Linked DNA regions of Arabidopsis thaliana. The protein of the gene in region 1 purifies or fractionates together with the protein of each later gene. This does not show direct contact. Each region holds a gene or a part of one and is shown on either strand. Other genes may lie near its edges.

Region 1 (5,197 bases):
CAACTACAACATGTTGCCGACTATGTGTATGAAGGCTGGGAACATCATGATGACTATGCTCTTCCCTAGACCAACTGCACCACACAACAACATAGATGTGTATCTTGCACCTATTATAGATGATCTAAATGGTGTGTGGAAAGAATGTATAGAGGTTTATGATTCTTATATGAAGGAGAATTGCACACTTAGAACTATATTGTTGTGGGCTATTAGTGATTATCTTGCCTTAGGAACACTGGTTAGATGTATGGTTAAAGGGAAATAGGAGTGTAACATATCTGGTAAGGACACACCAACATGCATGTTTTATTTTGCTTTAGTCAAATTTTGACAACACGACTACTGGAAGTGCACAGTTAATCGTCTGTAGTATAATGGGCTTTCTAAACCCATTCCAACTCTCATTTAGTATGATATTGTCCTCTTTGGGCTTATATGCTCAAGCCCGCAAGGATTTGTTATTGGGTTCCTTCCCAAAAGGTCTCATACTAGTTGGAGTTGGACTTGGCTTATATATTAGAAACTCTTTTTCTAAACTTTCGATGTGGGACCTTTGGTTTGTACCCAACAATCTCCCCTTCAAACCAAAGACCACGAACTTGGACCTCCTTCTTGAGGCACCTTCTTATCGTGTCATGTTTGAGAGATTTTCCCACATCGATCATAGCCCAAGCCCTAGGTCCAGTGTTTCAACCTGGCTCTGATACCATTTAATGGGCTTTCAAAGCCCATTCCAACTCTCATTTAGTATGATATTGTCCTCTTTGGGCTTATATGCTCAAGCCCACAAAGATTTGTTATTGGGTTCCTTCCCAAAAGGCCTCATACTAGTTGGAGTTGGACTTGGCTTATATATTAGAAACTCTTTTTCTAAACTTTCGATGTGGGACCTTTGGTTTGTATCCAACATAGTATTTATGGATCGAATTCCATTGGAAGAGAAGTAATTCAAACAAGTCTGTCAGAAGAGAGTAAAACTAGGACAAATCAATAAAAGAGGGGGAAAGGGTTGTTATTGTGTCACAGTTGTAAGTAAGTGAAGCAAGTAAATAGTAAGTGATCAATAAGAGACAAAAGTTGGACATTCAAGGGATCGTAGGGGTTCAATGATCTTCATGATCTAATCATGTTTATTTCCATGTTTTCGAGCATATAAAACACATAAAATTCAGCTACTGAGGAAAAATATATAAACGCATATATACATATGTACACGTCCACATACTTTCACGTTTAGGTTTTCGTTATTAGGGAAGTTGGACTTTTAATAGGTTTACTGATATTTGGGTCTCACGTAAAGCAGACCGGCTCTTTGGAGGTGCATGAGGCGCATTTGTTCTAGATCCAAATTTTTTTTGGTAAATTTAAGGATCTGATTAGTATGGAAAAGACCTACAATTTTTTTTTTTTTAGTATGAAAATGTCAATTTTAATGTGTTTTTAAAAAATTAGCATAAAAAGGGTCCAAATTTTTGTTTTATAGTTTAGAAAAAGATTAATTTTTAAAATTTGTACAGGGACTATAAATTTATTGAGTTGGTAGAGACAAAAAGCTTAAAGTTTACACAAAGGAGAAAATTATCATAAACACAAACATTATCAACTTTTCTTTGTTTGATATTAAATTTTTAATTTATAATTTTTTATTGTTCTAAAATAATATAAATAAGTAAGTGGTAGTTTGACAATAATCTCTATCATCTACTCAAATGTGACAATGGATACTACAATAATTTACTCAGGTACATAAGTAATGACGAAGTCTGAGTAAAATGTAATTTGAAATCAAATTTTGGCTTTCTAGAAGCAAAACTGAATCAAAATTTTGTTCATGTGAACCAAAATCTAAAGTAGCTCCCAAAGAGAGAAAAAAATATCTTGAAAACATGCGAAGGGACAAAAGAAACACAAAATGACACGTGTCAATGTTAGGCTAACGAGATGAGGTTGCTGTAACGTGTGGCCATCACACTTCTCTTCCTTCTTTCTTTCCCTCACCTCTTTCTTTCTTCGTCCTAATCTCCTTCTTCTTCCTCCGATCACTCTATTTAACGTCTTCGACGAATCCGAAGCTGAAAAATATCTAACAATCTATCTTTTGGGTCCCTAAAAAAGCTCCTTCGTTTATCTTGTTTTCTAAGTTATCTTTTTGTATGAGTTTCAAAGCTTATCATTATCTCACTCTTCTTCCATAGCTATGACTACTTTAACGAAGATTCAAGTGTACCCACAAGTCTTGGAGCACCGTCTCTTCTTCAGAGATCCGATACGGGTCGGGTCAAGATTGACTTGTAGAGAACGTAGTAATAGGGTTTATGTGCATCGGTGTGAGAAAAAAGTTGAAAGAAAGAGAAAAGTTGAGAAATTTAAGGGAAATGGGTCGTGGGATTCTTTGAAATCTGGGTTTTTAGGGTTTAGTAAATTAGGGTTCTTGTCTAAAGATGAGTATAATCAGAAAGTTGAAAACTTGGAGATGGTTTTCTCTTCGGTTAGTCTTAAAGTTTCCTCTTTTTTTCTTAATGAAATTTTCAATCTTTTTGCTTTGATTAGCTTAATTTTTATGTGTTTGTGATTTTGTAGGTTGCTGTTCAAATTGCGAGATACATTGTGACGATGACAAGTACTGGAGCTATTCTTTTGATTGGGTTTCAATTATCAGGTTAGTGCAAAAACTATTGTAGAAGAGTTTTTTTATTGGTAATTTTGTTTGACTGAGATTTTGAGTGTATGTATTTGTGATGAAAGGTGGAGATAGTTCGATGAACTCATTGGTTTGGTATAGTTGGCTTGGTGGAATTATCATTGGAACCATGACTGGTGCTAACATGGTTTTGGAAGATCATTATCGAGCCGGTCCACGGAATGTTGTTATAACCGGAAGGTACCTTCTTTACTTTTGTTTTTGCATTTTTTGATTTTTGTTTCTTTGTGTTTTGGTTTGATGCTGATGTATGTTTTTATGCTGTGTTTTAGCACTAGGGGACTAGGGAAAGCTCTTGCTAGAGAGTTTCTTCTCTCTGGAGACAGAGTCATTGTCACATCTCGCAGGTTGATAAATTGTATATATGGAATTATGGATTAGTTTTTATCAAGCAATGAAGTCTTAATATGATTTGTTTTTTGGTTTTTGTTTGTGAAATCAGTTCTGAATCTGTTGATATGACTGTCAAAGAGCTAGAGCAAAATCTCAAAGAGATTATGAGTAACGCTAGCGAGTCAGCTAGAAAGAAACTGAGTGATGCTAAGGTAGTTGGTATTGCCTGTGATGTTTGCAAACCCGAAGACGTTGAGAAGCTGTCGAATTTCGCTGTAAAAGAGCTTGGTTCCATCAACATATGGGTAAAGAAACATATTTCTTTTTGTACAGTTTGTAACTTTTTTTGTATCTTTAGTCATATGTTTGCTCACTGTCTATATTCATTTGGATAGATAAACAATGCTGGTACTAACAAAGGTTTTAGACCGCTACTCGAGTTCACGGAAGAAGATATCACACAGGTAAAATCCTTTTTGAACCTAAAGCTTAATTTCAGCTTGAGCTTATGGTGAAGTTCATTAGTCTAATTGTAACTATTATTTTGTAGATTGTCTCCACAAATTTGATTGGATCAATTCTATGTACACGAGGGGCTATGGATGTGATGAGCAGACAGCACAGTGGTGGACACATCTTTAACATGGATGGTGCTGGCTCTGGAGGTTCAAGTACTCCTCTCACTGCCGTGTAAGAACTCAAATCATTCGTTACTAGTCTCTAATGAATTAGAACACATTTCTGAGTCTGTGAGCTTTCGCAGATATGGTTCAACAAAATGTGGACTTAGGCAGTTTCATGGGTCTATAGTGAAAGAAAGCCAAAAAACAAACGTTGGCCTTCACACTGCATCCCCTGGCATGGTTCTGACAGAACTTCTTCTCAGGTATGCATACACTTTGTCACTAAGGCCTAGAACAGAATGCTCCGGAGTTTTATTGAAGCAACCATTTATTTGGCAGTGGTTCGAGCATTAAAAACAAGCAGATGTTTAACATAATCTGTGAGCTTCCTGAGACAGTAGCTAGAACTTTGGTACCACGAATGCGAGTTGTGAAAGGTTCGGGAAAAGCCGTCAATTACCTAACTCCTCCTCGGATATTGTTAGCTATTGTCACTTCCTGGCTAAGGAGAGGCCGATGGTTTGATGACCAAGTAAGTGTTACACTTGAGTTCTAGTTCAAGTTTTTTGACAAATCCTTCACTTGGTTAAGCCTGAGCTGACGCAAAGATGTGTACGTGTTTGCAGGGACGGGCGTTATATGCAGCAGAAGCAGATAGACTAAGGAACTGGGCAGAGAACAGGACGAGGTTGTCGTTAACAGACGCGATGGAGATGTATACAGAGAATACTTGGGTCTCTGTTTTCTCTCTTTCTGTTGTTTGCGCTTTCATCATCTTACAAAGCACAACACCTAGCTCTTTTCCAGGCACATAACAAACATCTTCCTCGGATGTGTTTTAAGAAAATTGTAAACGTACATGTTATGTATAAAAAACATATATATAACAGAACCGATTTGTTCATGTAAACACTTCTTATAGTTGTAGAATGTGTCGTTGTTGAAAACAATGAAAAAATAGATTGTAATAAACTTTTATCAGATTGTAGTATTTTCTAGTTTTCACTAGTTGGGCCTTTAAAGGCCCATTAAGCGGAGTTAAAAAAACACAGCTCCAATAACATTGCATCAATAAAAAAAGTGGAGGGCCATCAGATAGGAGCGAAAGACTGTGCTACTGAATAGTAATCATGGAGATCATTTGAACTATGCATTATTAATCATCACTTGACCCTTTTTTCCAAATAAACAAAAACAAACCAAAGATTGTTTGGCCTCATAGAGAAGATTAGATTTTATCAACAAGGATTAATTCAGACATATGCTTGTCTATTTTTTTGATTAAATCATTGGCCAAAAAAATCGATTAGAAGAAAGATTGAAAAACAAAAGTCAAAAAGTAGGACTCAGAATATGGGTGGTGATATAACAGAATGGTCGGCAAATAGGCTTTTTACGGCCGTTTTTACGACGAACGAGACCTTAAATATCAATCGTCACTGTCCGGAAGAAAAAAAAAAACAATTTTGTAATACGACAATAACAAAAGTAAGGGTTGGAGAAAGTATAAGGATTTGATTACGAGAGCAATTTGTAG
Region 2 (4,122 bases), on another chromosome or scaffold:
TACTGATTTTTTCATCACCCTAAATAATTTCGACAGTAAAAGTTTTTTACAAAACACAATTTTATTTTTACAATCACTAATTGCCCTCACACATGAATTCACCCACTCTTTGGAACGCAATTTCTAAGCTTTGGGGTGAAAATGAATAAACCTAGCTATATTCATGTTCTCCTGTTCTATTCTCTTGTTCTTTCGATACCACACACCAATGACACAGGCGCTAGCTCTTCTATGCTCCAAACATATATGTTATCATGTGTTCACCAATTATAGCTAGTGTGACAAGCGAACCTGGTCCACAGAGGATGTCACGGAAGGCAATCTCTCGCACGACAATGGATTTTAACTAATATGTAAGATATATGATCAGTCCATTCAATGCGTGGATGTGATTTTAATATGGTATCAGAGCAATGTGATATATTGTTATCCAGATATCGTATGAGCCAATGTTACGAGCTTCAGAATCAACCAAACACGGAAGAAACTACTTCATTATCTATTCTCTAATTCTCTCAATCAGAAGAAAAAAAACGATTGCAATTTCTTCTTCAATGCGATCATATTTTGTGAAGAGACGATATACAAGTTAAATCAAGGGAATATAAAAAACTTATATAAAAGACTCTTTCGTGTTGTTCAAGCTAACATCCGAGAATCACATTTTCTCTTGATTTGAAAAGAACATAATCTTTGTACCCATTGCCTTAATATGTTCAATCACGTTGCTCGATTGTAGAAATAGCCTCTACAACGGAGTGAACCCAAGAACTGAAAATCCAATTCAATTATAGTTCTACGAAACATATTTAGAGAACAATGAGTTATTTGATTAATGACAAATCATACAAAGTCTTTGCAAATTTACATCTGAAAGTCTCTACCATCCACCACAAACACAAACCTACTCTTTCTCCTCCTGTCTCTCACTCGAATTCAAAAGATTGAAAGAAAAGTAAATTACAAACAGATAGAACTTGGCTCACTTTCCGGGAACAAAGTTGGTGGCAAAGGCCCAAGCGTTGTTGTTGACTGGATCGGCCAAATGGTCAGCAAGGTTCTCTATCGGTCCCTTACCAGTGACGATGGCTTGAACGAAGAATCCAAACATAGAGAACATAGCCAATCTTCCGTTCTTGAGCTCCTTTACCTTCAACTCAGCGAAGGCCTCTGGGTCGGTAGCCAAACCCAATGGGTCGAAACTGCCACCGGGGTAAAGCAAGTCCTCGGCCTCTCCCAATGGCCCATTTCCTGCGACTCTGTAACCTTCAACGGCTCCCATCAAAATAACTTGTGTGGCCCAAATGGCCAAAATGCTCTGAGCGTGAACCAAGCTAGGGTTTCCCAAGTAATCGAGCCCTCCATCGCTGAAGATCTGTGAACCAGCCTTGAACCAAACTGCCTCTCCAAACTTGACTCCGTTCCTGGCCAAAAGCTCAGGGAAGACGCAGCCTAGGGCTCCGAGCATGGCCCACCTGCTGTGGATAACTTCTAGCTCACGGTTCCTTGCGAATGTCTCGGGGTCAGCGGATAGACCAGCTGTGTCCCATCCGTAGTCTCCAGGGAACTCTCCGGTAAGGTAGCTGGGTGACTCGCCAGAGAATGGACCCAAGTACTTGACTCGGTCGGATCCGTACCATGGGCTGCCTGATGGACCCTTTGGCTTGGCAACAGTCTTCCTCATTGTCACACGGCCGCTTCCAAGGACTTCTGATGCCGCAGGGGAAAGGTTCACAGCCTTTCCGGCGAAAGCAGGGGAGGAGAGAGCCATTGTTGAGGCGGCCATTGAAACTTTTTTGTGTTTTTTTTTTTTTTATGACTAACTTGTGAGTGAGAGTGATTAAAACTGGTTCGATAGTGTTGGATTATATAGGGATATTGTAACGTTTGTTATATCTGAAGTAATCTTTATCTGTTCATTCATTGGATTTTAAGATTTTTGTTTTATCGTTTAGTAGTCTTACGTGGCAATCTCTAGTCCACCAGCATTTGTTTTGATTTTTTCATTGCAGCCAAGCGTTTTGTGACCACAAGTTATGAGCCACTGAATACTTCAACGGTTACACTTACTTACACCCTCGTGACAAGAATGATTTTTGCTACAACCCAATAACTAAAACTTAAAGTATAACATTTTGAAAATATAGATTCTGATGATCGAAACATTAATATAAAGTAACATTATAAAAAGCATTTACCCACACATAAATATCAATATTTTCAATGGTAATTAGTTCATCATCACTACCAGTTTAATTTCAATTATGAATCGATTTCATCGTCACTTTATCCAATAACCAAAATAATCTCATGAATTATGTGATATCACCTTAAAACTTTGACGTTTTACTCTTTATCGAAGAAACACAACGATTAATGAAACACTGTTTTAACTTATCGACCATTTCTAAGAACATGAAAGAACTATATTAATTCATATGGCATGTTCATCATCATGGGTTTAGACTTTAGAGAACATATAGCTACTTTTTTTCTTATCATGATTCAAGTTATCTTTATTGTAAACTTCAACAACCTTTTGAACAAACTTATTTATTCGCTTTTTCCGAATTCATCAACAAATTACTCCTCAATCACACTCCTATAGAAAACGGTTTAAGCTATCATTACATGTCTAGTTGGTTTTACTCAGCCCTAGAAGTGTTGTTTATTGCATCACTTTCCACGAAGCACAATTTTTCTTTTTTACAATCACTAGACCTCACAGGCTCACACATATGCTTTAGAGCACATTCTAAACTTTGAACTATAAAAGCTGTTAACACTAATACACTATGCGTTCTTTTTTGCTCCAAACACTTTTGATCCATTATTAGGAGACACTCCACTTAGAAAGATTTTCTAATCCTTTGGTCAACTAGGAAGTTCAAGGTTTTTCTAAACAGAAATTCATTTCACAAGTAATTTAATTTATAAGGAAATGAATAGAGAAATCAAATCATTGAAGAACTACAAAATATAGATTCAAGGTCAGGTCTAAGAAAATATTCCTGAAGCTCAAAAAAGAGTTTTCCTCTCACATTATAGAATTGGCCTTTACTTCAACATTTTCCCACCTATTCCACATTTGGTCAGAACATTTTTAATTACTTGTGGATCAATTTCCGGTTGAAATGGGTTTGGTGAATATCCGGTTCAGTTATATGGTGGCCGTTGGAATTGGCTTATTAGTTGTGGCCGTTGTTGAAGCCGTTGGTATTGGTAAGGGAGAAGCAGACTTGTGGCTATGAGTCTATGACCATGACTCGTGATTATGGAGCTGTCTTATGACCCTGACCATCACCTTGATCTGGTGGATTCCAATGTTTTCTTCTTCTTCTAATAAAATATTATGGTCAATACAGGTGCTAATTAAGATGGTAATAATTTCTTATGTTTCTGTGGTAAAGTTTGATTCAATTCCGTAGTTTTAGATAATCTTATTTCCATACATAAATTTTATAGTTTTATCTACTTTGTTCTTATGTTTTATCTCTAGCCAAGAGTTATTATTATTATCAGAAGAAGAAAAAAAAAAGAAGCATATATACAAAAGGTTTAATAAAATGTATTATACAAGGCAATTATCCAAATTTTTTTTGTTTTGGTTTACATTGATGCTCTCAGGATTTCATAAGGATAGAGAGATCTATTCGTATACGTGTCACGTCATGAGTGGGTGTTTCGCCAATCCATGAAACGCACCTAGATATCTAAAACACATATCAATTGCGAATCTGCGAAGTGCGAGCCATTAACCACGTAAGCAAACAAACAATCTAAACCCCAAAAAAAATCTATGACTAGCCAATAGCAACCTCAGAGATTGATATTTCAAGATAAGACAGTATTTAGATTTCTGTATTATATATAGCGAAAATCGCATCAATACCAAACCACCCATTTCTTGGCTTACAACAACAAATCTTAAACGTTTTACTTTGTGCTGCACTACTCAACCTCAATGGCCGCCTCAACAATGGCTCTCTCCTCCCCTGCCTTCGCCGGTAAGGCCGTCAAGCTTTCCCCCGCGGCATCTGAAGTCCTTGGAAGCGGCCGTGTGACAATGAGGAAGACTGTTGCCAAGCCAAAGGGCCCATCAGGCAGCCCATGGTACGGATC

What was found.
Region 2: the proteins of NYC1 (region 1) and CAB2 purify together in Arabidopsis thaliana (affinity purification with western blotting, with the first as the bait; one study listed by BioGRID). This does not show direct contact.

The regions. Positions count from the first base shown.
Region 1 is NC_003075.7:7,683,695-7,688,891, reverse strand, and holds NYC1 (NAD(P)-binding Rossmann-fold superfamily protein), read left to right. Parts: upstream 1-1,885; 5' UTR 1,886-2,200; coding exon 2,201-2,491; intron 2,492-2,583; coding exon 2,584-2,662; intron 2,663-2,748; coding exon 2,749-2,884; intron 2,885-2,976; coding exon 2,977-3,051; intron 3,052-3,146; coding exon 3,147-3,342; intron 3,343-3,432; coding exon 3,433-3,501; intron 3,502-3,587; coding exon 3,588-3,727; intron 3,728-3,800; coding exon 3,801-3,923; intron 3,924-3,999; coding exon 4,000-4,192; intron 4,193-4,286; coding exon 4,287-4,475; 3' UTR 4,476-4,658; downstream 4,659-5,197. UniProt on the Arabidopsis thaliana protein: Involved in chlorophyll b degradation. Belongs to the chlorophyll catabolic enzymes (CCEs).
Region 2 is NC_003070.9:10,474,107-10,478,228, forward strand, and holds CAB2 (chlorophyll A/B-binding protein 2), read right to left. Parts: upstream 1,864-4,122; 5' UTR 1,787-1,863; coding exon 983-1,786; 3' UTR 550-982; downstream 1-549. Other genes in the region: CAB1 (chlorophyll A/B binding protein 1), read left to right, coding at 3,965-4,122.